Linked DNA regions of Arabidopsis thaliana. The protein of the gene in region 2 purifies or fractionates together with the protein of the main gene of each other region. This does not show direct contact. Each region holds a gene or a part of one and is shown on either strand. Other genes may lie near its edges.

The links.
Region 1: the proteins of AT4G14300 (region 2) and AT1G05740 fractionate together in Arabidopsis thaliana (co-fractionation; one large-scale study listed by BioGRID). This does not show direct contact.

Annotation. Positions count from the first base shown.
Region 1 is NC_003070.9:1,712,612-1,726,772, reverse strand, and holds AT1G05740 (FAM136A-like protein (DUF842)), read right to left. Parts: upstream 6,181-14,161; 5' UTR 6,100-6,180; coding exon 5,971-6,099; intron 5,851-5,970; coding exon 5,680-5,850; intron 5,602-5,679; coding exon 5,464-5,601; downstream 1-5,463. Other genes in the region: AT1G05780 (Vacuolar ATPase assembly integral membrane protein VMA21-like domain-containing protein), read right to left, coding at 1-12; AT1G05770 (Mannose-binding lectin superfamily protein), read left to right, coding at 523-741, 891-1,226; RTM1 (Mannose-binding lectin superfamily protein), read left to right, coding at 2,261-2,539, 2,659-2,976; PDE247 (Tetratricopeptide repeat (TPR)-like superfamily protein), read right to left, coding at 3,748-5,250; AT1G05730 (FAM136A-like protein (DUF842)), read right to left, coding at 6,614-6,796, 6,876-7,013, 7,538-7,666; AT1G05720 (selenoprotein family protein), read left to right, coding at 7,924-8,101, 8,285-8,343, 8,472-8,653, 9,024-9,096; AT1G05710 (basic helix-loop-helix (bHLH) DNA-binding superfamily protein), read right to left, coding at 9,750-9,911, 10,038-10,214, 10,289-10,354, 10,465-10,575; AT1G05700 (Leucine-rich repeat transmembrane protein kinase protein), read right to left, coding at 13,528-13,867, 13,946-14,135.
Region 2 is NC_003075.7:8,225,111-8,242,122, reverse strand, and holds AT4G14300 (RNA-binding (RRM/RBD/RNP motifs) family protein), read right to left. Parts: upstream 11,122-17,012; 5' UTR 10,945-11,121; coding exon 10,723-10,944; intron 10,352-10,722; coding exon 9,338-10,351; 3' UTR 8,964-9,337; intron 8,815-8,963; 3' UTR 8,360-8,814; coding exon of another isoform or gene 8,112-8,359; 3' UTR 8,047-8,111; coding exon of another isoform or gene 7,896-8,046; 3' UTR 7,842-7,895; downstream 1-7,841. Other genes in the region: AT4G14320 (Zinc-binding ribosomal protein family protein), read left to right, coding at 98-282; AT4G14315 (uncharacterized protein), read right to left, coding at 950-1,129; AT4G14310 (Transducin/WD40 repeat-like superfamily protein), read left to right, coding at 1,799-3,319, 3,555-3,635, 3,683-4,299, 4,443-4,986; AT4G14305 (Peroxisomal membrane 22 kDa (Mpv17/PMP22) family protein), read left to right, coding at 5,518-5,589, 5,669-5,767, 5,851-5,952, 6,239-6,314, 6,418-6,488, 6,572-6,657, 6,737-6,788; AT4G14301 (uncharacterized protein), read left to right, coding at 7,896-8,046, 8,112-8,359; AT4G14290 (alpha/beta-Hydrolases superfamily protein), read left to right, coding at 12,066-12,103, 12,415-12,496, 12,710-12,813, 13,041-13,167, 13,591-13,685, 14,036-14,159, 14,272-14,352, 14,609-14,707 and 6 more. UniProt on the Arabidopsis thaliana protein: Involved with pre-mRNA processing. Forms complexes (ribonucleosomes) with at least 20 other different hnRNP and heterogeneous nuclear RNA in the nucleus.

The DNA.
Region 1 (14,161 bases), on a different chromosome or scaffold from region 2:
AACTCCAGCCATGGCAAAACCACCGAATTGAAGTTTACAGAAATCGAGAGCCCATTGATTTTAGATGAAATCAGGAATCGAGAGACACAGATCTTGCTCAGGGTTAAGGGATGGATTGAGTCCGGCGTTGGATCTAGCGAGTGCACTCTCGGTCTTAGACTCGGCGGGTTAAATAAGATTGCTTGTAAGAGCGGTATAAGCCGATTCGTGGGACGGTACAAACATTAATCTTGACGGTATTTTTTTACTAAGATTATTTTGACGGTTTTTGTTTAATTTTAACGGTTTTTTTTGTACTACAATTAATTTTGACGGTTTGATTATTTGATATGTTTCAATTTATGACTTATTAAATAGATAGACATGGAATAAAGGTAAGGAATATATATTGTTTACAAGTTATGCAAGATTGGAATATCTCATCATGTAACAAGATTATCCTAAAAACACCGACTTATAAGAAATTAACTCTTGCATTATCCTTAAAGTAAGAGGGAACAAAAAAAACACATAAAGAAGAAAATGGAAGGGAAAATCAAGATAGGACCAGTGGGAACGGATTATTCAGGTAAGAAAACAATGGTCGATTGGGATGAAGGAAGTCACAATGGAATCATCTCTCAAATATTTCTATCTCATGGTCCCACCGGTGTTTTCTCTATCCAGTTCCAGTTCATGCTCGACGATACATTTTTCTTATCCTCCTGCCACGGTCAGAATACTGGCAGCATGTTTGACGTTGTGAGTGTGTTCTGTTTTTGTTTTTCTTCATTAGTACACGAATCACTAGATTCGAAATTTACTAACAACAACTTAATGTACTTAATTATATATATTGATCTCACGAACATGGTTAATATAAATTAAAATGTGGATTTTGGGCTATGCAGATACTTTTGAACTGCCCACATGAGTACATAACAGGAATTAGTGGAGAGTATCTCAAGTCCGATGGCGCTAGCGGCCCTCAGATAAGGTCTCTTGCATTTGCTACCAACCTTAATCAGTACGGTCCTTTTGGCGGCTCGAGCTCTCAGTCTTCGATTTGGAATCACGAACAACAGTTCAGATTCAAACTAGGGAAATTTCGCCAGTTCAGCGGTTTCTATGGGACATATAATGCCTCGGGACTACAAAATATCGGTGTTTATCTCCAACCAACAATTGTTAAACCTACCGGTACACGCAATGCAGAGGAAACTGAGTCAAACATTGTTTTGGGTTAAATGAAATTGTGTATTAATCTTAAACCTTCTTCAGCCTCTACATGCGTTTATATCAATATCTTTCGAACTTTGTATGAATAAAATTACTTTACGTGTGTGTGATGCGTCTGTAAATATATACACATGCATTAAGCATATAAATAATCATTGGTTCAACCATATTCCTCGTTGCCCAGCAGGGAATATATTTTCCCACAAACACAATTAATCCTCAATATAGGGACCATATGGTCTCAACTCTCAAGTCTCAACAACGACATCTCACAGATTTATTTTTCTATCAGAAGATGTTTTTGGGATAACCTCCATCCGGAAAAACATTTTGCTAATTTAAAATTCTCTTAAATGTATTAATCAAAAATTACTAGAATCCTCCGCACCAAGTTTTTTTAATAATTACTAGAATCCTTTTTCTTTGAAATAATTCTAATATGAGACATTCAAATAAATACATATTATCCTGCAAGATTTATGTATATAAATAACTTATTAATCATGACTACTGAGGCGTGCAAATAAAACCCTATTTTGAGTTAAATACATATAGTCTAAATATGTGTATAAAACTTGAATATTTTTGTCTTTAAAAACAGCCAAATACAATTGAAATTGTAATGACATTAGAAAAAACTATACTTATGTCTCGACCAACGTAGTAAATCGTTTTAACAGACTAAGATAATCATTGCATTACATAATTTTCATCCGACAATACATTCTTTCAAAATTCGACTCTTTGTCAAAGCAAATGAAAGAAAGGAAATAATTTGCTAGATGAAGCTATGCAAGATTGTAAACGAATATTCCAATCTGAGGCGTCAAAATAAGAACATTATCTTAAAGAATCTCTAGTAACAAATCTATTAGTCATTTCATTAAAACAAATTGGGTAATGGAGAGAAGAAGCAAAGATAAATGCAATAAAACAATGAATCGTAAGATGAATTACTAATATCAAATTGGATAGGCATATTCCAATCTGAGACTTCAGAGTTAGAGAACTTTGAATCTCTACATGTATATATATTAATGTTATGCTATTTTCGTTATGTAACCAAACAAAAGAGCTTTTGAGTTTTGGTCGTACAAAAAAAAAGAAAGGGAAAATGAAGATAGGACCTGTAGGGAAGCATGATGCTAGAAGCACTACAATTGTAAACTGGGACGAAGGATCTCACGATGGCTTCATCTCTCAGATTTTTCTATCTCATGGCGTCGCTGGAATTATGTCTATCCAATTCCAGTTCGTGATGGACGGAAAACTCGTTTTATCCGATCGTCACGGTCCATTTTCCGGCAACATGTTTGACGTTGTAAGTCTGATTTTTGACTCTTCTTTTTTCTCCGTCACAATTTCTACTTCCAACTAAAATGCTAAGAACATGGTTATAACTTTTTTTTTATAACTTAATATGTGATTTGGACCCAGCAGATAGAGCTCAACTATCCGCATGAGTACATAACTGGAATCAGTGGAGAGTATTACAAGTATGAAGCCAACAATCCTCACATGAGGTCTCTCAAATTCAATACCAACACTAGCGAGTACGGTCCTTTTGGCACCTCCGGTTCGAGCAACGACAAATTTGCTTTTAAACTCGGGAAATCTCCTCAGTTCGGCGGTTTCCATGGGACTTATGATGCCTCGGGACTACAGTACATTGGTGTTTATCTCCGCCCAAAAACAGTTCTACCCAAAATAGATACGGGCAATGCAGAGGAAACAGAGTCAAAAATTGTACTGGGCTGAAAGTGTTTGTATACGACTCTATTCTGCTGATTGTACATTCTTAATTATGAAAATTCTTCTATGAATAAACTGATATGTGTAACATATAATCGTCAAAATACTTTAACCTTTATGATACAACATTAACAATACCAGATGTACCTAGAACAGAACTCACTATCTTCGAAAAATGCATTAACAAGGATATTGTTGGGAATAATTACACTCAAGCTAGCAGGTCTTATAGATGTTGTACTGCCTATGCATTTCGCTGAATCAATCCTGTGCTATGATCACTGCTAGGTAAACAAATGCTAGAAAATGCCCCAAGGTATCACAAAATCCACGCAAACAGAACACCAAAGTGTTGCAAAATGTGGGAGTTATTGAACTGTTTACTAACTTGACAGTAACCAGCAATAACATCAACATAACATGACAAGACACAGAAGAATGCACATAGATTCAGGTTACCTTATTAGCACGAGGAGACGGCCGCCAAGGCCACATAGCTTGGATTCGAAGCTTACAAAACACGGGAGCACCATATCCTTGTGTGGCCTCTATTCAGCAGGTTTAAATAGCGATATACACCCAGATCTTTATTGGTAGGGCCTGGCAAAAAGGTTGGAGGAAGCGACAATGGTTATGTAATGAGGTATATTCTAGCGTTCAGCATCTCTAAGACTCTAAGACTAAGACCACTGTAAGGCTTCTTTGCGGTCAACCAATTTGAGCAAATGCTCACGCTCAGGACTTGAACAAAAAATGGGATGTGGAGGTTCCTGGATTTCAAGCATTGAGGAGATCACCAGCAAGGGTTTCAACTACACAGCCCTGTAATCGCAAATCAGAAGAAATAAGCTCCAGGACCTCGCGGATATAAGTGGTCTCAACATGGGCATTGTCACCGGCCATGAACACATGCATGCAATCATCAATCTCTATCGAACTAAACCCAGGCTGCTTTTTTAGACCGAGACCCTTCATCTTCCTTCTCATCTTACTTGCTCCTTCCCATTTTCCATCAGCAGCATACATATTCGAGAGAATCACATAATTTGAATGGCTTTTCACATTCAGGTCGGTAAGATGCTTCATCAGCCTCTCTGCTAAGACGATATTGTTCCCATGATTGCTGCAAGCTGCAAGCAACGATCCAATCACAACTTCATTTGGCTTCATTGGCATGCTCTGCACCAACTTCAAAGCGTCTTCCAATCTCCCAGCCCGACTATACAAATCCACTAAGCATCCATAATGCTCAATTCGAGGCGAGATTCTGTAATCACATTTCATAATTTGAAAATATCGAAGACCTTCTTCAACTAGACCTACATGGCTACACGCGGTAAGCGCCCCAGTGAAAGTGACTGCGTCAGGTTTAAAGCCTTTCTCTTGCATTTTCCTGAAGTAGACTAATGATTCATGTGCATTTCCATTAGCAGCAAAACCAACAATGACTGAATTCCACGAAACTACGGTTCGTTTCTCCATGTTGTAAAAAACTTGTCGAGCAAACTCCACACACCCGCATCGACAATACAAATCGATCAGTGAATTACTCACCCTCACATTGTTCTTGAAATCCTGACTCAAAACATAACGATGTACCCATAATCCAAATGAGAGAGCACCAAGGTTTGTGCAAGCGTTAAGAGCAGCAATAATAGCAACGTAATCTGGTTTTACTCCAGAAATCTGCATTTCACGGAACCATAACAAAGCTTCCTCTTGATAACCTTTCTTAACAAAGCCATTTATCATAGCCGTCCAAGAAATCAAGTCTCGTTCAGGCATTTTGTCGAACATCTTAGCAGCGTTATCGACTTGACCACTTCTCATGTACCCATCGATCATTGTATTCCAAGTAACCGAATTTTTATCTTCCATGTAATCAAAAACCAATCTAGCCTTCTTAAAACGGCCGCGTTTGGAGTACATGCCGATAATTGCGGTGCCAACCATGACATGGTTTCTATCAAGACCAAGTTTACAAGCATACCCATGAAGCAAATCGCCCAAGGCTTCACTTCCGGAGGTAAAATCACCACACCCGGAGAGTAGAGCTATGAAAGTGATGTGGTTAGGCTCTACGCCGGCGAGTGTCATATCGGAGAATTCCTTCGCTGCCTCCGCTAATCGACCATTGCGCGTGAGGAGATTGATGCGAGAAGTCCATGAAACAGTGGTCTCGGAGGTAGATTGATTATGTCTCTGTATCTTTGGATTGGCGTGATTTTTGTGGGTGATGAGCGCCGGCGAAGTAATTCCGACGACGGGAAGGAGACCCATTCGATTGAGATGGTGACTTTTTAAAATTGATTTTTTCCTTTTATCTCTAACTAAACCCGACTTTGGACATAAGACCGGGTAAAATAGAATCCGGTTTGATCCGGTTTTAAGATTTTAATTAAACGATAGTCTATCTCAGCACAAGTAAATCCAAATCAACTGTATAGAAATACAAAAAAACTTTTAAAAGCCCTAATAAACACCGTTGGTTGCTTAGCCGCCAAGTAATGCTGCAGCTGCATCGTTTACGCAACCCTCCATATCTTTGGCGGCATCAATCCTGTTCATATTCAGTAGCTTTGCAGCCTCGAATTTGTCTTGACATACCATGAGAGATCTGTTCATCCTATCCTGCATTAGTTAACCAAATGCAAGTTTCTCAGTACATGGCAAAAGCTTAATGGGATCAGTTAAGGACTATTTTTGTACCTGAAACTTGGCCATATCGCTATCGAATTGCTGTTGAGATTTAGCAACGGGAACACGACAGAGCTCAACACAGTTAGTTGTCACTTCTGGCTTTCTTCTTTTCTCAAAGCACTCGTTTGAGCATTTGAAATAAGCTTGCTGCAATTCATCATCAATCAAAGGTGCATAAATCTTTAGCGAAACTCAAAAGTAAAACTAATTAACTTTTCTGCCCTAGTTTGTTAAAAGATATAGCAATACTTGTACTAAATGATTGTAGAAATATATATATATATATATATATATATATACCAGAAGGGTGAAACTGATATGTTCTTGAATAGGAGAGAGCTGCGACTGACCAGATGCATTTACTTCTTCGATTTTTCTCCTAACCCTCTCCAATAGGATTTGCTCTTCCGCAACTGCCATGCGATCCATCGTCTCTCTCTCTGGAGATTTTAGGGTTAGGGTTTAGCTGCTCTTCAAATTGGAAGCATTTATTTATATAGGCGAGGTTCTCCGACCGACAAGACAAAAAACACCCCTTCAGGATAAACTGAAACCGAATAAACTCGGATGGGGTTTGGTTCGATTCAAAATTATTTATGACTGACGTTTTGGTTCCTGCAATTAGCTCCTCAGCTTTAAAGAAAGTACAACTACAACTACAAGGTTTGCTTTACCTATTCTTCCTCTTCGAAACACATTGGTTTTAAGATCTTTCAGTTGAATACAGATCTGGTGATTTGTTTTTCCTCATACCACATACTGTGAAAAGCTTGTTGTTCAAGATCCTCATAATCTTATATAAAGTTATGGTCTGATATACTTTACCACTACACAACTCCTACCATCCATTGTGTTTATCTATTGAGTCATAGTGAAAGGGCATGAATATGATTAGCAAGAGACAAAAGTAAAGATGCCCCTTTTTCCCAACAGAGGATTATTATTAGTCGGCAATGGAGAATGACGTCTTCATTCTCTGCACAATATGAGGCAATGTATCGAGACTATCCTCAATGGATGTGTTCACACAACTCTCCATAGCTTTGGCGGCATCTCCCCTGTTCTTATGGAGCTTTGCAGCCTCAAATTTGTCTTGACAGACCATGAGAGATCTGTTCATCCTTTCCTGCATCATAATTACAATTGCAAGTTTCTCAGTCCATTGTAAAATTATGCATTTTTTGTGAGTTGAAATTATATTATACCTGAAACTGAGACATTTCGCCTTCGAAATGCTGTTGAGCATTGACAACTGGAACACTGCAGTGCTCAACACAGTTGGCTATCTCCTCTTGCTTCCTATTTCTGTCAAAGCACTCGTATGCACATTTGAAATAGGCTTGCTGCAATTGATCAATTTTCCGGGTTTGATTCATCAACTTAACAAATAAATATGAAAACAATACGCTTTCATACAACTTGAGTTATACTAATATAGCTGTAGAGATATAATGAAAACTGTCAAGTTTAAGTTTCCAGGAACTACTTAACATGACTACAACAAGACACAGCTTCCAGGAACTTAACATGACTACAAACTTTCATGTTATTAACTAGACAGATTGTATCAAAGGGCAGCAAAAATTAGCTCAGAAAACTTAGTTAAAACCCATTATAAAAGAGATATACCACAAGTCCACAAGTGAACTTAACTAGAACAGATTAATGCCTTGAATTGGACAATATATGGAACAAAAGGACAAGTTTTTCTCTTTTGTTGCGATTACAAGTTGAAGGAAAATTTCGGCTTTTTCAGAATTGGTAAATTGGTCACCCGAATCAAAATCAACACGAGCACACAAATAACATACACCTATGAGTAGGAGGATCAGGAATGCTACAAAAAGGTATATGATTGTTAATATACCTGAAGGGTGAAATTGATGTGATCTTGAATAGGAGAGAGTTGCGATTGAGCAGTTGCATTAACTTCTTCAAGTTTTCTTCTAATCCTCTCCGTTACAATTTGCTCCTCCGCTGCCGCTATGTGATCCATCGTCTCTCTCGATCTCGAATGGGCGATTTTGATTCTAGGGTTTTAGAGGTTTTAGATCGCAACAGGCTAATGTGAATTGGGGTTTTAACACTTTTCACGTCGGTTAAGACTTTTTTATTTATAACCGGAGATGGTTTCCTCTATACCAAGATTGCTTTTTCGGATACTTAAAAAACCGGAATTGACCGGATCGGATCATAGCAAGGCAGCGACATTAGTTAGAGTAGCGTCGGATCTGCGAAGACTTTGATCTGTTGATGAAACAGAGAGAGATGGCGAAGATGGTTGTTTTATCAGCGATGATGATTTTGATATTGGCATCGACGATCTCAGCAAAAGAGCAGCTCAGCACTAAAGAATGTGAGGATCTAGGGTTTAGCGGTCTTGCACTCTGCTCCGATTGCCACTCACTCTCTGAATACGTTAAGGACCAAGGTTCGTGCCTTTCTATGCGTGCTTTATTTGATCTCAATTACTGCAGTTTTGCTTTTTTTCCCCCAAAAGATTCTATATTTTAGTTTTTGTGTATTTTATGAGCTAGATCATTCTCTCTAAAGTTGGTTTTGAGGAGTGGAATTACTAAATTGGTTATCTTATATTGATTGATCTTGTTTGCAGAGTTGGTATCTGATTGCTTGAAATGTTGTGCTGATGATTCTGAGGATTCCATGAGCAAGGTACGATCACTAGGCATGTAATTTGTAGTGCTTTTGAATTTTAATGGGAATAGATTAGATGAATACAGAAACATCTCCTATAACATGGATATGAATGAAGAGAAGTTTACATTTTTTTGCCATTGCAGGTTACCTATTCTGGCGCTATATTAGAGGTGTGTATGAGGAAGTTGGTTTTCTATCCTGAAATTGTTGGTTTCATTGAAGAAGAGAAAGAAAAGTTCCCTAGCGTCAAAGTTCAGTACATTTTCAACTCACCACCCAAGTTGATCATGCTCGACGAAGACGGTGAACATAAGGAATCAATTAGGTAAGTTGCTTTATAACCCCCTTTGCTCAACTCCTTGCTAGAATCTTTAGTATTAGAGTTTGGGTGGGGGAACGAGTTGACCTGATTTAAGACGTTCAAGGTGACCTGATATATCCATGTTAGCTTGGTAGATAAAAATATAACTATCCATGGATCTGCAGCAGTTTCTATTCTCACTCTCTCGTTGCTCTGTTACATTCTGCTGTATCATTTACTTAGACCTCTAGTTTAAATTGGTTTTTGAAAGGATTTTCTCGTTGTGAGCATGAATAAGTGATGTCTTTAACACCTCATCCTCTATCAGCAACACAACTTCATTCCTCCAAGGTTGTAGCTGACCTCTTTGTTTCTTGATTTGCTTGTTTTGCAGAATCGACAACTGGAAACGCGAACATCTACTGCAGTATATGCGAGAGAAGGTCAAGCCTACTGCAGCAAGTTAGTTTTATCCCATGTAGAGCTGAAGAGGATGATCCTCCCTGTCACATTTACATATGCCAAAGCATTGCAATCTAGTAGTTAAAAACACATTATGACCGACTTATCTTATCTTTGTCCAAGCTATTTGGTCCCTTGGTATCAACAGTCTGTATGTTCTGAACCTTTGCAATTCTCAGTGGTAATGTATTTAATCCAATGTTCTTATGAAAGGATAATCTTAATTCTGTGGTCAGCAGTTTGGCACTATTACAAGCACTGAAAGAAAGCTATATGTATTAGGGAAATCCACGATCATACCTTCAGCACTGAAAGAAAGCTTGCCTTGGGTCTTTAGATCTAGAATAATGTATTGGATGCTGTAGGTAAGAATCACACAAAGAAAAGCTTAAGATATCTGAGGCATTTTTTGGGATAAAGATTACTTTGCATTAAAATCATTTGGTTCCTGTTTGGGCATATTACACAAGTCCAAAGTAAGGGGATGCATTAAGCAGTCGAATAATAATAACAATCATTGCCAACCATGAGCTGTTCTAAACCAACATCATGTGCTCTCTGTCTATATATGTTACAGAGGCATCATCAGAAAAATAACAATTGGTCATTCTTTTTTAGGCTTAACACAAAGATCGTAGTAGGTGATTAGTCGAATTGGTCATCTAAAGGGTGATTGAGATGTGACACTGAAAGCTGGTGATAGAGGAGTCTTCACGGGCGCCCATATATCAGCGCCGTTGCTTTGAGCAACTCCAACTGTATTCTCCATTGGAACAAGACATAATCCTCTGTTTCTCAGGCTGTACTGCTCCAGCTCCTCCTGGTTACAAAAGACGGGAAAATCAGTCCGTGCAAGGTATTCAAGTTCCAAGTGAAGATCTGTCAGATGCAGAGTAGAACTAGTGAACTAAGTATAAATGAAGTTGAGATTCAAGATCATACTCACCTGCGTAGCATCAGGTACCGTTTGCAGATACGGAGCACTTAGCACCTGTACAAAAGAACATGGGAACTCAGATAAAGATGAATGAATCATGCTTGGTATTGAACTGCAGACCTTCACTTGTTCGTGAAGAAACTCTATGTAATGCATCGCGTCTAGAAGAACTGATGCAGTGTCGGTCTGTGAACATTAGAGAAAAGTATGAGCTGAGAGACAGATTCTTTTGATTTGCTTGCCAAAAAAAACAAAGTTACCTTTCCATAAGGGGAAACTATTTGTTGAAGAGCTGAAATACGTTCTCCAACCTTGTCCTTCCTCTCCTGTTTGCCATTAAGAGAACAAAGATGGACGGATCATTACCATGCAATTTGTTGTACCGAAGACTATTTCGACCGAGAAATCCATGAAAACTAGCTAGGATAAGCAAAACCTTGGAACTGAAAGAGAGATCAGACTTGTGGCGTTTGATACTGCTTTCTCCGAGAGAGCAGACATTCCGCTTATTCTCCATCATCATTCCAGCGTCTCTAGAGAATTCCATACCTTTTGTCAATAAGAAATGCGCTAAAGAGTCATCAACACAACATGACCCAAAATTTATACTAACAAGACATGTTACATAGGGTACAAGGTTACCATCCTAGAGCAAATTACAGACCAGAAAGATTACAAGATCTATGAAATGATGATCTTGTTTTGGACCAACCAATGCATTGGGAGACAGGATTTGGAAGAGAAATTTAGAATATTAAGCCAAGACAAAGGTATGGTCAACGAAGTAGGCTAGGATTTGTGGTCAGAGGCTAGGCCTCAAGTTCACATCAGCTTAAGCATTATTTTAAGATTTCTAAGCACAATTATAAGCTCAAACAAAAAGATTAAATATGTTATCATACCTTGCTTAGATTATTTGCATAAACTCATAAACAGAGAATAACATCATATATGCATGAATCAATAGAGTCCCTAAAAACAGGAGAAAACCCCCCCAAAAAACAAAACACATATAGAGAATCCTCCACGGATCAGAGGAGAACAAAAAGTCACTCTCAGTGAATTATTGAAGTTAATGTAAACAAGAACTCAACTTCTTGCATTACAATAACAAAACTATGAGTAGAATCTGGTAACGATATCTATCAAAGTTGGTAACTTTTTCAGTCACGGGGATTGTCGTATAAACGAAATCAAAACCTAATCCAACTGAAGGTTAGCAACAAGAAGAGGAGAGATAAGTAATTATGCTTGAAATTAGCTTTTAGCAGACTAAATTTGGTGTAATTAAGCCAAAAATGGAGTAAAGAAACAGAGCAAATAAAGAAAGAACGAATAAAGAGAGAGAGAAAGAGCTTACGGAGAGAGAGATAGGTAGAGTCACAAATTGGAAGAAGAGTCTAAGAAAAAGCTTTATTGTTCAAGAAGCCACCACCCACAACTTCTGAAAGTTCCAAATTTTGCTTCGTTTGAACCCTAAAAATAATTGCTTTTTTTTTTGTCCTTGAGCTTCTTTCTGACAACACAAAACCCGATAAGATACAGAAATGTCTCTCTCTCTCTTTTGAGTTTTCTGAGTCCAAAAGGCAAAACTCCAAACCAGTATTTAGTATGTATAAACGTCAGTCTTTTTCCTTTGTTTTGCGCTTAAAACGACGTCCAAGATCGTGCTGTGTGACACGATGAAGAGCTCAAGCAGAGTGAAAATAAGCGTCGTTTCTTATAAGGTCGTAAGATTAGAGCAGTCGCAGAAATCTCGGCGTGAGAAAAGGAAAGAGACAGAGAGAGAGAGAGAAGAAACTGTGTCTGTTTTTGTTTATGCTCCAAACAAATAGAAGGGGACTTATTTTTATGTCTGTCTTTTTCGTCTAGACTCTTTTTGGGTGAAGTAATGTCATTTACTTCTCATTTAATTATTTTCAAATTTATTTATTGATTTGTATAAATCTAGAGTTTTCAATTTTATCGACTATCAATATTTTTTGATAATTTTTTCCTTACGAGTGTAAAGGTTATAACAAGCTACAAATTTATTCAAATGGTCAAAATCAGAGCCACTCATGCCTGAAAATTGTAATTTTGCACACAAATTCTTGACCTCACATTATGTTCAGAAAATCTCCAGATGTTTTATTTATGTGCTCCAAAGACTTCTATGATACATTTTTTTTTGACAACCAATTAGATGTAGATTAATAGATACATAAGTATTTCTTAGTTTAGATAGAAAAAAATGGAACCTTAAGTGACGTAGTTAGGACATTTTGGAAGCATGCATGTTCTGCATATATTGCCCCCACACCATCTACTACAACTCCTGCAAACTTTAATAATAAAGATGAAACAGATGACTAAAGAGTAAAGACTAATCCCTAATTAGGCTTTAGTGTTCAGAATCAGTCTTTTGTCTTGTGACTAAATACATCATAATTTGACAGCTATTATACAACCCATTGAGAGAGTGAGAGGTCTTCGTAGTTAATATCAGTCCCAGGTAGAAGTTGCTTTTATTATTATTATTATAGATAGATAGAGAGAACTATTTTTTCATTTATTGATGATAGTGACATTGTAAGGTTATTTTATTTTGTCAACATATTTGACCAGCTCTCTGCACCATCAGTCTTTTTGTTTCTACTTTCCACTTTTTGCTTTTTTCGTCTTTGAATTTTTGTTCTCTTCTCTTTAAAATCAACCAAAATTTCAACTAGAGAGGTTAAAAACATGGGCTGTATATAAAATCCATCAATCTAATCAAATCAGTGATTGAAAGTGATGTATTATTTTCATAAATTAACACCTACAATAATGAGATTCTCTAGCGTCTACCATTAATAATGAGATTTTAATTAGATTGAACGAGTTCATTTCATTAGTATATCCGTTGTTTAACTACAAGAGAATAAATGAAGTGTTATGAAAATGATAATTTACTACTGTAAATTTTTATGTTTCAAGTAAGACAAATTTAATTTTTCTGACGTCAATGCAACTTCATAGAGAGACTCAGGCGTTGAGGAGACGCGCACGCGTGGTTTCGGACACCAAACTCGCTCTAAAAGTCACTCACGTGGAGCGGTTAGAAGAGTCACGTTTCGAAACGCAGACGCAGAGGTAGAGATTGCGTGTGTAAAAAATAGAGATTTGTGGGGACAGCGGCACAGACCGTGCGACGCAAAAGTCCGAAAGGAATCAGCGTTTTATTTAAAAGGTACGTTTGGGGTCCTACGCGGCTTCGGTCTTTGTCTTGTTGTCACCATCTTCTTGTCCTCTTTTTTCCTTGTGGCTACCGGATTAGGTACTTTTTCTTTGTTTTTTCCTATTTATTATGGATTCTTTTCTATTCCATTACATTATTACTTTGGGCTTTTAGATATAGCATTAGCAACACAAACTTTAAAAAGCCTTTCAAAAATTTAAATATATAAACACTCCCAAGTTTTCAACATCTTTCTGTTTCCAACCCCTTGACTTATTCTACACCCTTTGCGTTGTGACATCAATAGTTCTTGTTACTCTCTTCTCTTTGAAGACACTCATTCAATCCTCTAACAATATGTGGCATGTTTGGCCTATCAGAGACGTTCTGCGAAACAGAGGATAATGCAAGCTCCACAACTTTCCATACAGAGTTTACATCAAAATCTTTCGCCATCTTTGAATCTATAACATTGTTCACATCATTCGTAGACCTCAAGATCGATATCACCCAATCACTCACATGAACACGTTTCGTTTGTGACTCTTTGATCACGGTTTTGCCTGTAATCATCTCCAACAGAACAACTCCAAAGCTGTAAATGTCACTCTTCTCGTTTAGCCCATTTGTCTCAAAGCATCTGCAAAACGGAGCATACAATCACTAAAAAAAGATTCCATGTTTGGCAAATATGGCAGACATAAGAGAGAAAACTGACAGCGGATCGAGATATCCGGGAGTTCCAGCGACTAGGGTGGATACGTGAGAACGACTCTCTGTATGAAAACTCCGTGAGAGTCCGAAATCTGCAAGCTTTGCTCTGTTTTTCTCGTTCAACAATATGTTTGAAGTCTTCACATCTCTGTGGACTATTGGAGGTTTGCATCCACAGTGAAGATACTCAAGCCCTTCATAGATTTTTCGTTAAAGATTT
Region 2 (17,012 bases):
AGAACATGTTTCCTGGCTCCTTATTGCACAAAAGAGAACATGAACAACTCTTTTTATATTACCATGATAGTCCTATGTGTTTTGGCCTTTGTGTTAGTTTTAATTGAGAGCTGTGCGGGCAAAATGGTAGATGAGATGATATTCTCTTGTGTCTGCTGTGGTGGTCCTGGCTGCTGTGGTGATAGAGGAGAAGGACCTGTTGGTGGTGGTATTGACAATGAACCGGTGAATGTAGTAGTGGTGGTGGTGGAGCCAGGCAGCCAGCGGCGGAAGATGTGGTGACGGTCAAGGATGCTACTTCAGTTTTTCTTTTTTTACTTTATTATACTTAGATTCTGGTACTATATATATTATGGGTATAGATAATTTACACTAAAGTTTTATTTCCGTTATTTAAAATTCGTGTTTTATTTAATCTCTAATTTTCTGTTTCCAAGTCGAATTCCTCTGTACTAATTATACGGCCTTTTAATTTTACAATATGAATAGCCATTTTCTACTAACACATTCTTACCTTTTAGAGGTGTTAATTTTAAGGTAAGTTTCTTCTCTACAATTACGTAATATCATTCAAATCTGTTCATGCTGACAAAAGTTAGGTACTTTTGTGTATATTTCTCGATCATTGACATTGTCTACTACGCTAATATCTAAGGAAAGTGGCATCGATTCTACTTGCTTGTAAAACATACATCGCGATGTAAGTCAAATTCTCTAATAATGTAAGAAACGAAGTGAGAAAGAAAGATAAATCCAAAAAATTTACTTGCAAATCAATAGAGATCCAAACCAACTGCGCATGCGTTAGTCAATTGATATATTGTATATAATAGAACAAATACAATTTTTGTTTTTATAAATGTATAACCAAAAACGTAAGAGCAATACTATCGAAATAAATACGTACTGCATATTACACGATAATAATAGAAAGAGATTTGATGTTTGATCACTTGGAAGTAAAATGGAGATAGAGAAACACAAAGAGCAATACGACCGGAAACATCAAGATCATTGGAAGAGATGGTGCAGTCACCGGTCCCATCATCAACGGAACAAACAGTAACATTAGTGCAACGACAACAATCGCCAAAACCGAACCCATCCCGAATCCATACTCATTCGCCATTTTCGTCTACTTTTCGATAGGAGTAGTGATCAATTCTGTGTTAGTGTCTCTAATTGGAGAAGTTATATATACACAGATTCAGACATCAAATCTACGGTTGTGTCGTTTCCCCGAGAAGTAGAAGACAACGTTTCGTGTACTAATGCATGAAACACAAAAACTGGCGAGACCTTTCACGTTAATAACCACCTCAAAACGCTGCGTTTCGGTTTATTTGTTGCTGCCACGTGTTTTAAAAACAGCATACCCTAAACGCATCGTTTCGTGTCGCAATCAACTATTCAACTGTTACTGTATATTTTATTAAAAACGCAGCGTTTTAGTTAACAAAATTCGTGTCGCTATTTCTACACTGCCACGTGTTTCAAAATGTCGCGTTCTGCATTTGTTGCTATCACGTGTTTAATAAATTTACCTAAACGCTGCGTTTCGTTAATCAATCGACTTTTTGAACATTCGCGATCTCCAAAAATTTTGAGTTTTTTTTTTGGAAATCCCGCCCAAATATTTTGAAATTGAAACTCTAATAAATTTGTCGGCTTGTGGAGTTGCGGTAGTGATATCCTCCATTTATCGTTTTGTGCTTTTTCTTCAAAAATCAAAAGCTTTTATTTTTCCCCCAAACTTTTTTTTCAAAATCCTAAATCATTTTACCCTACGATTTTGCAGATGTCAGCTTCAACGAATCGCCGCCGGCTAAAAGATATAAACACCGGCGCCGGTGAAAATCCATCATCTGGTAAAAAACCATTGAGGTCTGTAACTCCACTTCCGATCTCAAGCAAAAATTCAAATCCCGCTCTTCAGAAATCATTATCCAGCAAAGAGAATCCGAATCCGAAGCTTAGTCACCGCTCATTTGGATCGACTCAGAAGCCAGTGCTCCGGCCTGTACCGCGCATTGATAAGTCCGCCGTGAGTGGCGAGGGTCGGGTTACGCGATCCACGTCATCTGGTTTGCGAGGTAGGAGTTCTAGTCCATCTGATTTGATTAGGGTTTTCTCGGATTTGAGAAAGAGAAATGAATCTAGGGTTATTGGGGAAAAGGGTGAATCGGGTCAGGATAAGAAGTCTGGGCTCAAGAGTTCTGGATTCAAACAGGGTACGAGTGAAATTAAGGTTGAGCCAAGTAGTGTTTGTGAGAAAGCAGATGAAGGAAGTAGTTGTCCAGTGAATTCAAGCAAATTTGAAGGTTCTAGTGTGGCGAGAAATTCAATTTCTGATCCAAAGGCACATGCTTTAGTTGGTTCTGGAGAGAAATCTACTGTTGCTTTGAAATCTGATAGTAAGATTGAAAAGACTGGGAAAGGGACTAGTGTAGCTTTAAGAAGGAAGTCTTTGGATAATGTTGGGAAGGCAATGGAGATGTCAAAGGATATAAGAGGAAATGAAGGAAGCAGCAATAGTACTGCTAAGTATCCAAGCAAGCTGCACGAGAAGCTTGCTTTTCTTGAAGGAAAGGTTAAGAAAATTGCATCAGATATCAAGAAGACAAAGGATATGCTGGATTTGAACAATCCGGATTCGTCTAAGGTTATAATCTCTGATATACATCAGAAAATCACAGGGATTGAAAAGTCTATGAGTCATGTTATTGATGGTCCAGAGAAAAACAAAACTACGAAAGCAAAAAGTTCTGTGAAAGGATTAAATAAGGAAGAGCTGGAAGACAGACTCTTGCCTCACCAGAGGTTGCTAAGGAGCAGAACTCAGTCCAAAACATCTTCGCATGTCTCAAAAGGCCATGATTCTGTTGAGTCCAACAAGGCAGTGAATGCTGAAGAAAAGCCGTCAGCTCCTGTTGAGGAGAATGCGATAGCTCTAGAGTTCTTGGCCTCACTTGACAAGGAAAAAGTCACATTTATGAGTGATCAGAATGCGCTGGAAAATCTGGAAGTGCAGGAGATGGATACAGAGGAGCCGTCAAAGGAAAATGATGTCTCAAAAGACGTCAATCTGACTTCCAACTTAACTGAAATTCTTAGAGCAAACGAAGCCCTCGAGGAAATTGATGATGAAGAGAATAGAGAGGAGATGGAGCTGGAAGAAATAGATGATGGATGCATGTATCAACTCAATGACATTGGGTCCAAAACTTCTACAGGAGGATGGTTTGTATCAGAGGGCGAGGCAGTTATACTTGCTCATGATGATGGCTCGTGTTCCTATTACGATGTCGCTAACTCTGAGGTACTATGCGTTTCTTCATTTATGAAAAGTTTTTAGTATCATGTTTGATCTAACTTGAACTGTGCTAGTGTGGAACATTGATTTTAAAATCTCATATTGACCACAACATACACATATCTCAAGTTACGAGAAGATGTTTAGCATATCTTATTTTGATTTAGATTGGATTTTTCATCTTATACTTGCAGAAATACTTAGTGACTAAAGCTTTATTTTGGGCTAATAGTATGCACAGTTTATGGTTAATGAATGTAATTCTCTGTCAATCTGGGTGCGTTTGTATGAAGTGACTGGAGTTTTTGGCTTTGTTCACTATGTATGCATTATTATCTTTTACATCAAAGACTTGAAATTCTTTTTCAGGTGAAATCTGTGTACAGTCCTCCAGATGGTATCTCACCAAACACTTGGAGAGATTGCTGGGTAGTTCGTGCACCGGGTGCTGATGGCTGCTCAGGCAGATATGTCGTAGCTGCTTCTGCTGGGAATACCTTAGAATCTGGCTTTTGTTCATGGGATTTCTACACGAAAGACATTAAGGCACTCCACATCGAGGACGGATCTTCAAGAGTTTCAAGAACAGCTCTTGCTCCTCTACCCAATAACACATCACATGGTAGGAACACTCCGGCTTGTGCAGTGGTACCAGAAACTCAACAATGGTGGTACAGACCGTGTGGTCCTCTTATAGCATCAACTGGTAGTTTTCAAAGTATAGTAAAGGTTTTTGACATACGAGATGGGGAACAAATCATGAAATGGGGTGTGCAAAATCCTGTGTCAGCTTTAGATTATTCGAGCCCTTTACAATGGAGGAATCGAGGAAAACTTGTCATAGCCGAAACTGAAGCAATTTCTGTTTGGGATGTCAATTCCCTTCACCCTGAAGCACAGCACACCATTTCCTCTTCAGGGCGAAAAATCTCAGCTTTTCATATCAACAACACAGATGCTGAAGTTGGGGGTGGTGTTCGTCAAAGGTAAAAAAACTTTATTTTACCATTTAGCCTCTTACTATCTCCTCGCTTGGCCTCATAAATTGAATATGTGGAAGCTAAACAATGTGGATACTTTACTCTTTCTCTCTCATTCACTTATAATGTTCTCTTCACATGGAATGCAGAGTAAGTTCCTTGGATGCTGAAGGAAACGACGGAGTATTCTGCACTAGTGATTCAATCAACATCTTAGATTTTCGTAACCCATCTGGCATTGGTGCTAAAATCCCCAAACTCGGTGTTAATGCTCAATGTGTATCATCTCGAGGAGATTCAGTGTTTCTAGGATGTACCAATCAGAAATCAACTGTCAAGAAACAAATGGCTTCTTCTTCTCAGGTGCAGCAATTCTCCATAAGGAAACAGCGTCTCGTGAGCACATACAGTCTGCCTGACTCAAACTCTCACCCGCACCACTCTGCAATAACCCAAGTCTGGGGAAATTCAAATTTTGTCATGGCTACTTCTGGTATGGGACTATTTGTGTTTGATACTGCAAAAGAAGAGACCTTGCAACAACAGCCATTGACAAGTGACTATGGAAGCGTTCAAACAGTAAGAGAGATCATCGGTCCAAACGATATGTATTGCCCGTCATTTGACTACTCAGGTTGTCGTGTACTCCTCATCTCAAGAGACCGCCCGGCTTTATGGAGATACCTCTTATAGGTAAAGCAATAAAATTGTTGAAGAAAGAAGTCTTGAATACAAACTTGTGGCTGATGTTTATAGTTGAATTTCGTTTCTTTCAGGTGAGTAAATCAATCTAAAGATGGTGATCCCACGAGACCTATATTTAGCAAGTGTTAGCACAGCTTGTGCTGCTTTCTCTTGTGTTGTGTTCATACTATTGCTCTTTGTTACCAACTATGATGCTTTTCTGGATTCTCTTTCGTGCTATTTGCTTATTTGACTTTACTCTGTACATACATGTGGTGTTTTGATCAATTTCCTAGGTTTCTTTCTCATTACTCAGATGATTTCTGTGTTATAAAATGGTCCGAAGAAAAAGATATGACAAAGCATATTTGACTAACGAATATATTCCTAATTTAGATATTTCTTAATTTGGCCTAAAGTAAATCCATTCGTTACCCATAATCTAATTTTTTTTTGTTAATACGAAACATGGTTAACTTCTCTTAAATCAAATCTGGATCTTTTAGTCTTGTCAAAATCTTGCTATTGAATCTTCGAGCCATGTCGGATCTTGCTAAAGACGCATGGCGAAAGTATCTGATTCAGCTTCAAGCTCATCCTTTACGAACCAAGGTTTGTTAATTTCGATCAAAGAAGTCTCAGTTTATGAGAATCTTGCGATGATCATGTCGTCGTAATGATATTTTTTCAGGCGATCACTGCAGGGGTTTTAGCTGGATGTAGTGATGCTATAGCTCAGAAGATCTCTGGAGTTAAACGGATTCAGTTCCGGAGATTGCTTCTCCTTATGGTTCGTTCCTTATTTGTCTTATATATGTTTGCAGTTATATACTTTTTTAGTCTGGAGAAAATGTGATGATCTCTTTTGTGCAGTTGTATGGCTTTGCTTATGGAGGACCATTTGGTCACTTTTTCCACAAATTGATGGATACCATTTTCAAAGGGAAGAAGGGTAATTCAACTGTTGCCAAAAAGGTTTTGTCTTTTGAACCAAACTATCATCTTCTTGAATGCTTTTTGAATTCTTGGTTATATAACAAGTCAAACACTTGTTTTCCCAGTTTGTTTGTATCCATCCTTGGAATTGGATTCTAGATTACAACAACTTGTTTAACTTATATTCTGTTAGTTTCCTTGTTGCAATTTGGAATTTGAATGTGCTTAAATTAGTATAATCGTATGATCAATATATGTACAGAGATCTCTTACTGTGTGCTTAAGGATGGATTTTGTGGACCTAACAAAAACTGTGTTGAATCAGGTTTTGTTGGAGCAACTTACATCATCTCCTTGGAACAATTTTCTTTTCATGTCTTACTATGGTTTAGTAGTTGAAGGTAACGACCATGGTCTAGTTCTGAAATGTATTGTTTTGTTTTCTCTTTAGTGATTTGTGATTTGGAGTTTAAGATCTGACATTGTCCTGTAATGTTTTCACAGGAAGGCCATGGAAGCTAGTGAAGCACAAACTTGGAAAAGATTACCCTACTATCCAGTTAACCGCATGGAAGGTAATAAATGAGACTCACTACCATTTCATTTTGTTACACTTTTGGTTGGTTTAAATTTCTAAAACTGTCTATGTAAATAACAGTTCTGGCCTATCGTGGGATGGGTTAATTATCAGTATGTGCCTCTCCAATTCCGTGTTTTGTTCAGCAGCTTCGTCGCCTCTTGCTGGTAAAAGCTCTTACCGTCCTCTCTCATTTTGATATGAAGAGAGTTTTCTGGTAACATCTTTGTCTTTTAATATATTTAGGAGCATATTTCTGAACTTGAAAGCGCGATCTCCGGTGATCAAAAACGCGTAGAGAACTCTATATGGAGGAAACAAGAATGGATCTCTTTTGTTTTTCTTGAAATGTACAAAAGTTTCAAGAATTGAATCTCAAGTAAAATCTGAGAGATGTGATGATTATTGAATAGATCAAACTCTGTAACTGTTTTGTTGTTTCACAGAAACATTGCAGTCTCTCACAATTACGAACACTTTAGCAAAAATGTTTGCTGTAAAAATAGTTAGATAAATACATAATTTTCTCTAAAATTTAGAATATGTATCAAGTACTAAACTCCCACAGTCCCACCTATAAAATTAAAGAACTAGTAGGAAGGAGTGGGACTATCGAATACAATCAGGCTGCTTTTACTTCACTTACTCATATTTGATGTAGATACTTAATTCTAACCATATTTTAGTAGATTTGAGAAACACACATACCAATTTAAATCAATTTCCTGTAACACTTTTATTTATCTACATTTTAAGTATCTATCTATTAGACATTCTTCTTCTTTTGTTTGTCAATATTAGACATTCGTTGTAAACCTAAATAATGTTTCGCTTTACAGAGAACTTTAGATTAAACGTCTACGTACATAGAATCAAACCACCAAACTAAAAAACCAATAATAAACGTTGTCCATTGACGTAGCAAACTATAGTTTATTATTCTGATCATTCTCTCACTTCCATATAACGAGAGTTTCTCAATCAAAAAAAAGAAAAAAAGTTTTTCAAATTTATTGAAATGATGTGCTTCAAAAAAGAACATAACGAAAATGTTATTACTTTATCTAGAAAATGATTTGGAGAAAGTTATATACTTCTGTATTTGACAAAAAAAAAGGTTATATGCTTACTGTACCAAAATGAAAACTTAAAGCTCGTATGGAGTTGTAGTCTTATAGTCTTATAGACTAGAAAATGCGTCGATGAAGTCATGGTAAGAGTGAATATGTGATGGGTAATCTACGAAAACGTAAAGTCATTTACGAGTTGAGGTTAAAACAATCGGGATCAGTTAGTAGTTGGTGTAATTAATTGGCTACTCACTCGCCTTTATAAACGGAGCTGGTCTCGTCTTGGCTTATACAAAAACAAACATAACTTAATACATACAAAAAAAACAAAAGAGATGGGGAGTCTCGTTGTTAACGGAGCTGCTCTCTTGGCTTTGTTGTGGTTCAATGTTTTTGTGGTGAATTATGTGGCTGCAAGAGAAGGTGTGACCTTTGGAAAAGATGAAGAGGAGAAGACCATCATAGGCGGAGGAAAGGGCTTTGGAGGTGGTTTTGGTGGAGGATTTGGCAAAGGAGGTGGAATCGCTGCCGGGGAAGTGGTGGTTTTGGAGGTGCCATTGGTAAAGGTGGAGGCATTTTCGGCCACGGAATAGGCAAAGGCGGTGGTTTTGGAGGTGGCATTAGTAAAGGTGGAGGCTTTGGTGGTGGAATCGGCAAAGGTGGTGGGATTGGAGGCGGCATTGGAAAAGGTAAAGGATGGGGCTTTGGCGGCGGAATAGGCAAAGGTGGTGGTATTGGAGGCGGCATTGGAAAAGGTAAAGGATGGGGCTTTGGTGTTGGCTGGTTTGGACACCACTGAGCTAAATGAGAAGAAGATTGTAGTTGCATTGCATGGATGTCTCACGTAAACAAGTTGGTTAAAGCAACTACTTCTGAATAAATTAAATTAGCTTTCACGTATTTGTAACTTTGAGTTTCACAGCTCAAGATAAGCTTTGTACTGTTGAGTTTCCACTAGTTTCTATCTATAATTATGAGAATTTGGTATCCTAATATCCATCATTACGGATCAAACCCCGTAATCCCAAAAGATATTTTAACAATGTGGCTCTGCCTTGTGCTATCACAGTGTGTGCCTATCTATGTTTGTTTCAATCTCACCCCTCACAAAAGAACCTAGTAGCTCACATACTGATAACACCTTGCCTCTTCGTTCTTCAAGTGATTACCTCAACTCGGAGTAGGAGCAGACCTTGAATTCAACCTCGATGAGTCGTTGCCCCACCTAAGAACTCAAGCAGCCCTTGATAAGTCCTGTACAAACACACGACGCAAAATGATTATGCCTTTTTCTCAAAGCTACCTCTCACTATTTTCTACACCTTCTTCTTAATGGTACCACTAACGTTACCAACTACCTCTACTTTCTACTCAAACCATACATTCAGCAATTTGACTCTCACCTCCATCGAGTTCTGCTCTCACCATCTGCTTTCTTAACAAGTACCCTGAAGCATTATTCCCTGCTTAAGTTATATCCATCAGGGCCAAAACAAAATAACACAATCAAAACAAACAATCCGGCAAGAATACTAGGAAGACAAACATAATACGAAAACAGCAAAGCCTGTAGTTATAATAACTCTGCCAAAACTCAAAAGTACACTCAACCGAAAAATAACTTAATAGAAGTGACTTATTGTAATAGATAGCACATGCTTATAAAGAGATTCAAGCAGTCCAACCCGTTAGGAAGTTGTGGAACCTTTGATTTGAGCTAAATTCTTCTTGACAAGGATCCAGAAACCAGGGCGGTCATAATCCCCTTACACAGTCACTACTGGCCTTGTCGACCCTGACCATCATTGTACCCACCACCATAACCTTGTGACGGGTCAGATCGCCAAGATCCATCACCATAACCACCTCCCATGTAGCCACCACTACCAGGGTTGTTTGAACCGCCACCACTAGGACGCCCTCCAACCACACCATATGCAGCTTGATTTCCATAACCAGAATCACTTCCACTGTACCCTCCATAACCGTAGCCTTGGTTACTATAGCCAGATGGTGACTGCGTAGGAGGAGCTGCACCAGGAACTCCATATCCACTATGAGCAGCACCACTCCCATAGCCTGGGTTCCCATAACCACTAGAAGCTGGAGTGTCCCATGAGTTTCTCGGAGCAACTCCAGTACTACTTCCATAGCCAGCACCTGGAATGTTCGTTGCTCCATATCCAGCAGTAGCACCAGCGCCATAACCTCCAGCAGAACCAGTGTAACCTCCATAGGCACCATACCCGGCACCATTACTACCATTTCCATAGCCAGCGCCATAACCAGAAGAACCATAAGATGGTAAACCATTTCCAACACTTTGATGCTGCAAAAACCTATTGGAATCCATACGTCCATCATAACTGCTTTCATTGCCACCATAACCCTGGTAACCACCAGAGCCACCACCACCCATTGATCGTCCACCACCTCCAGGATTGGCATCTTTAGGAAGAGCACGCTTTACTTCAACTTGTTTACCGCTCAAATCATGGAAAGTCTTGTGCAAAACACTGTCTACCGCATCTTCAGAGTCGAAGGAAACAAATCCAAACCCACGAGGACGGTTGGTAGCCTGGTCATACATGATTGCAACATCAGTCACAGGGCCATAAACTTCAAAGTACTGGCGAAACTCTTCATCAGTCAAAGTAGGTGGCAAGCCTCCAACAAAGATCTTCTTGGTTTTATTGTAAGCATCACCTCCAGAACTTCTAGATGTATTAAGATTCCCAGTTCTTCCAGAGACTTGCTGCTCCTCTCTTGACATGGCTCTCTTCACATCAACCTAAACATTAACCAAAATCAATAAAGCTCATAATAAACTTCCAAGAATCATACTTTACCCAAATCGAGAACATAACGCAACAGAAAATATATACATCTGTTTTTCCTTATCCTAATAAACCAAACCAAGCTCTCTTTTCTAATACTATACTCAATCACTTCATAGAGTGTACGATTAACATATATCGAGTACCCTATAATACCTCTTATACAAGTTAAAACCAATCCTAGAATCTAAGAAACACTAAGGCGAATTTGCCAACCAAACAAAATTCTATATTTACTCTCGTTCTCAATCAACACAGCAAAACGCAAAAAGGATAAAACTTTAACACAATTAGAGAAATGGAGCTATAAGAGAACAATAATAACCTCTCTGGTATCAATGCTGTGTTTCTCTTGAAGAACCCTATCGAGAACAGAAGGATCCGAGAAGATAACGAACCCAAAACCCCTAGGTCGACCTGTGAGCTTGTCTCTCATCACAATAGCCTGAGAAACCTCTCCATAGTTGGTGAAATGTTCTCTCAGCTTATCTTCATCAGTTTCCCATGAAATACCACCGACAAAAAGCTTTCCTTGATCCGAATCCATGAATTTATATTCCACTATCTTACTTCTGACCCAGAATCACAAATCCACCTCAATCTACGAAACCGTGAAAACCGACTGCAGAAACTTCCAGAAATTACGAAAAGGCTTTAGCTTTTCCAATGGCTGTAGCCGATTTGAGAGGAGGAAGAGGAAGAAGACAGCGAACGAATATTTCTATTGGTTTGGTATTGATATTCGCGAAGGTACGAATCTGTCAGCAGATAAATAAATCAACGGTCTAGATCCTTTCTAATATTATTAACGGTTCAGATCTGTTTCCCGTTTTCTTGTAACAGAGATGCTTACTTATGGGCTTAAGTCCAGCCCAATAGAAGTATAAATAATGGGCTACAAAGACCGACGATGGTTTCACTCGTGTGTTTTCTATTCCACACGTGCCAGCAAATCCTACAAGAACGACAAAAAAATCTTTCGTGCTGTGACAATCTCTGTGCCAGATGTGCACTTTGTTGTCGAAAATTCCAAACTCCACATTACAGCTTTATTAGTACTTGTAATAATTAACCTCATATGTTTAAGTTTAATTAATCTCTTAATTACCTCGTATATATTTTAAAATAATTAAAACAATAGCCTATAAACGACAATTAACGTGCACGATCTCCACTAAAAAACCTTAATTGAATTTTTGAGTTTTTTTTCGAAATTTTTTAAGAGACTTTGGTCAATGTCAGCTTTCACTGAAAAAACTTTGGAATTAGTAATAATGATTAATGATTATACATGACAATACCAATTAATTAATTTCCATAATGAAATGTGAAGACGTTAAATGTAAAAAGCGGCAAAAATGTGGGGCTAATTTATAAAGTTTGTTTATATATTTTTAAATATAAAAACAGTTTCAGGCTTCAACAACGAAAAAGCCGTTTTTCTATTACTTTGCTTTATTTTCTTCTCTTTCTCTGTGTTTTTCTTTCTTCGATCTCACTGTCTTTCTTCTGGAACAGCTCGATCTTTTGATTTAGGGTTTTTTTAGTTACATTTCTTGTTCTATCTGAATCTCTTTCGTTGGTTAGGTTTTATTCGATTTTTGACTATTTGTGAGAAATATGGAAGAATGAGAAGAAGAAGAAGGTGATTTGTTTGATTTTTTTCTAATGGAGCAGCTTGTTAACTTCGTCATTCGACCTCCAAGGTGATGATTCTCTCAGAAAATTGAAAAAAATTACTTACTGATTCTGGAATTTAGTTTTCAGTTTCATCTTTCTATTTCTCTTTACTAGGTTGTAGAATTGGGTTTCACACAAAGTTTAGATTTTTAGATTTGAGTTTTGAAATTTTGGTTCTTGTTCTTGAGTTGATTTTGGATTTTTATATAGATGAAGTAATATATACTAGGATTTAGGGTTGCATTTCCTCAAGAAAACCCTGTTCCTCTTTCAAATCCAATTTGTTTTAATTAGTTTGTTTCATCTACGGTTGAATATAACTGGTGTTTTGATGTAGAGCTGAATACAATCCAGAACATGATCTCTTGGAACAAGAGTTCTTGCTTAAAGGGAGATGGTACCAGAGGAAAGATTTAGAGGTAAAGCTTTTTTTCTTCTGTTGTTGTTGTGAACTCCTGACTAGAGAATCCAAGCAAACATGTTGTGATTCAATGTCAATGTAGATTTCATCAGTTGTTCACTGTTGATCAGCGTGAGTTCCTTATTTTCCAGCCTTGGACTGCCTTTAGGATCTCAAGGTTTTAGTTGTGCTTTGTTCACCTAAGACTATAGAAGAACTTATATTGTGACAGGTTAAAAACATCAGAGGAGATATCCTTCAGTGTAGTCATTACATGCCAGTTGAGCGTCCTGAAGATAGGCCTCTACCTTGTGTAATATACTGCCATGGCAACAGGTAATCGTAACTTTTATTTTAATAAAACGTGATTTGAGCTGTACTGGTGAAATAAGCTAGTTAACTCATCCTTCAATCGATGCAATAGCTGGTAGGATACTATGACAACCATGCATTGAAATGAAACAACTGATATGGTTGCCAACATTACTAAAGTTTTCCAATTATCATAATAGCTTAATGTTTCTTTTAGTATACTATTCATTAATGGATTCATTCTTATTCAGTGGATGTAGAGCTGATGCCAGTGAAGCTGCGATCGTATTACTTCCTTCAAACATCACGATTTTCACGCTTGACTTTTCGGGATCCGGTCTCTCTGGCGGGGAGCATGTCACTTTGGGTTGGAACGAAGTATGTCCTCCTTTGATCTTTTCTCAAAATATTCCTCTTCTTCCCTTCAGCTGTTATGGCCTAAACTTATCGTTGTTTGGAGTAAACAAGCTGTCTTAAGTCAATATATCTGCTTCTCGATTGATATTTGTTAGATTGAATGTCTCGTGGTTTATTGGAATTCTATCCCACTATAACCAATACACCTATGATGCTTCATTTGGTCTATGAAGGTATTGTTATCTTTCTGAAGAAAGATTTCCAAATGATTTAGAGTTTTTGATGCTCTATTTCATGGTAGACTTAGGTGCCTTTGAGTGTCCTTGATTAGGTTGTCAATGATTTTTCCTTCCCTCACAGTCGCTGCCTTCATAAGTCATAATCCTGAATTGTGAGAGCAGTCACTTCTTTTATTACTGTTAAACGTGACGTTGGTGGTTGCAGAAAGATGATCTGAAGGCTGTGGTTGAGTATTTGCGCACGGATGGGAATGTCTCCCTGATTGGCTTATGGGGTCGTTCAATGGGTGCTGTCACAAGGTTCCTTTAAGTCTTTCATTTGTTGAACTACTTAATAAGAGCGTTTTCATTTCCAGTGTTGCATGAAACTGTATGGAAGTGTTTACTATAGAACTGAATTTTGTAAGCAATTGAGGATTTACTTATCTTGTGAGCCCCTTTTTCTTTACCAGTGGAGAGGAGAATAGTTGCTAAGAACCGAATGAAATATTCTTTGGTCGGGTTTGTTGTCTATTTAGCTGACTCTCCTGTGTCTAAATGATCTACAACATGGCAAACGTCAACCACTGCAACTTAAAATTTGATTGCTACAATCATTCTCTCTTTCTGCTGAACTATGAAATCATTTCGTTGCTACACTTCTTTTCCAGCTTGATGTACGGAGCAGAGGATCCCTCTATCGCAGCGATGGTTCTAGACAGCCCATTCTCTGATTTGGTTGATTTGATGATGGAGCTTGTAGATACGTATAAGTTCCGACTACCGAAGTTTACTGTAAGTAAAAGTAAATTTGTAGTGTCTGTTTCTTGTGGGATTTGTTCTTCATACTACAAGGTTTCCACATTGAATCTATTATACGACTTTAAGCTCTTTCAATCTCTTTCAGATAAAATTTGCAATACAATATATGCGGAGAGCTGTTCAGAAGAAAGCCAATTTTAACATAACGGATCTCAACACCATTAAGGTCGTTTCCTCTGTTAGTTTTTACTTTTAGTCTAGTTGATTACTTAGATGATTAACTAATCTATTCACTGGAAGGCAACATCATCATTGTTTTTGGTGATCATTTACTTATTTTCCCTCATTATTTGGCATTCATGATTGTTCTTAATGTGTAATTGTATCAAAGTCAATTGGTAGTAGAGATTTTGTTGTGTTTTTATATTAAGTGATGTTTTGTTTCTCGTTTTTTTTTTCAATTTATATCGTTCATTCTGCAGGTAGCGAAATCTTGTTTTGTTCCTGTTTTATTTGGACATGCCGTAGATGATGACTTTATTCAGCCTCATCACTCAGAGCGTATATATGAAGCATACATAGTAAGTTTTCCATATTATACTTTTCTTCCTCTAGCTTCTCATAAGTTCTTGATGAACCCTTGACCATGTAGCCTTTAAACCTCTGGCTTTTGATTATGCCAGGGAGACAAAAATATCATCAAATTCGATGGAGACCACAATTCACCACGGCCACAATTCTACTTTGATTCAATAAACATCTTTTTCCATAACGTTCTTCAACCTCCAGAGGTGGTTGGGCCAACATTTTTTGACCCGGTGGATGACTACTTTGCTAAGGTAATGAATCTTGCAGTATGCATATTTAGTTTTTTTTTGGGGGTTCTTTAGCAAGAAAGGTCAATGATGTTAACTGTTTTATGTTCAGGGCAGTTGGAGCACCATGCAACAACTAAGTTCTCCCCCATCCTCAGCACAGAAAAGTACGTCATTCAACTTCTTCTATGTTTATTCCAAGTTTTGTTGTACCCTTAGGCAACATCTCTTCTAATTGGTTTCAGGTTTAGCTCCAGGTAGCACCTCTGATGCTATAAATGAAGTCCGCTTAAAAAGACCTATGAGTCGCACAGAGGTTGGTGGTCTGTGACTATGCTCTGCAAGTTTTTAATACACATTTTTGAAGTATAATTTTCTCTAACGCTGATTCCCTTGAAATGTGGAATAATCAGTTGTCTCCCTAATGTTTATAATTATAGCTTTTAATTTCGAAACGCATCAAGTGCCAAAAATTAGAAATTCACATCCGATTAATTCCAAAATTTGAATCATGAAACCGTAACTGTTCTTGCATAGATACCAAACTAAAAGAGTTTGCTTCACTTGGTTCTTCAAAGAAACTACCAACAGGTGTATGTGGTACTGTATATGGTTTTTATATCTCCCTATTGATGGTTTTTTGTTACTTCTCTCAGGTTCCTTCCAACGACCCATCTAATCAATCGTCATCAGAAACCAAGGTACATAAACTCAGCATCTCTTTAATTTTTGCATTACTTTGTTTATGGTATGGGCATGGTCAATGGTCATTGACTAAGCTATCTGATTTATGTATATATTATATGATGTATATTCAGTAAACATTTGTAGTGACGCTAGTGGCAGGGTGACCAACTTCTGTACATGTAAAATACTGTCTGAGAAACAAAAATGTAGAGATGGGTAGATTGTTCCTGATGTTGCATGATATGGACTTATTTCAGGAAAAAGAGAGTCTTGAAGTCTCCAGTAGTTCATCTTCTGATATGATCAGTTTTGATTTGTCGAATGGAGATCCATATCCTCCTCATCTCGCAGTAGCTTTAGATGATGATCAATATGTGGAGTTTCACGTAGATGAGCTGGCAGATTTTCCATCAAATGCAGAGGAAGAAGAGAGGGTGAGAGTAAAAAAAGTGGATTTTGCACTTTGAACTCTCCTTATGACCAAGCTCTATAAATTCGTTTATTCACATATCTTCTTGGCCTCAGATGCTGATGGAAGCGGTGATGAAATCGCTGAAGGACATGGAGGTTGAACAAACTCATCAGAAAAAAGAACCTTCCAGGACCAATACAGAGACCAGTGAAGGTAATGCTGCTGCTTCTACTACAGAACCAGAACTGGCACTTTCTGATACAGATTCTGCTTCTGGTCCAACACCATGTAACCATGATGCACGATTATCTTCTGTAGCCAGTGTTCCATCTAAAACATCAGATTCTCTGCCGGGACCTGTAAATGGTTTTGTTCCTGGTGCTTCGCCTAAAACGAGTCAAAACAAAAATGATGTCATTGATTTGTCAGCACGTACAAAGGCAACAGTGACTGTGGTTGGACGTAGTAGCACATCAGGAAACGTTTTAGAGGGGTTATTACGCCGATGGGATCTTAATTTCTTCAAAAGTAGATAATTCCATTAAGTTATGTGTTTTTGTTTGTGCAAAATAGAATGGAAAGTTAAAATGTTTAAAGGTTTGTCATGACAAGTTCTCTTCTGGTTATGGTTTATATGAGTTTATTCATATGCATATATGTTGTGTTTTGGCAAAAATCTCTGTCAAGAGAAGAAATCATCTTTTGTTCCTTCCATGTCTTTTTATCCTCTTGTTATGAACATGTAATGAGATCATCTTACACATATACCATTAATTAATCCCATTCTTATGAACGTATAATGCAATCATCTTACATGTGTTTTGATCATGTTTGTCTTTGTTAAGAATTTTCAGGACTTGTAGGTGTGAAGCAGAGAAAATACTGTGGAAGAAGAAGAAGAGAAAATAGTCCATTTGATAAACTTGTTGAGCAAAGACAATTAGTTCAATACAATTTGGGGTTGAGACAGTC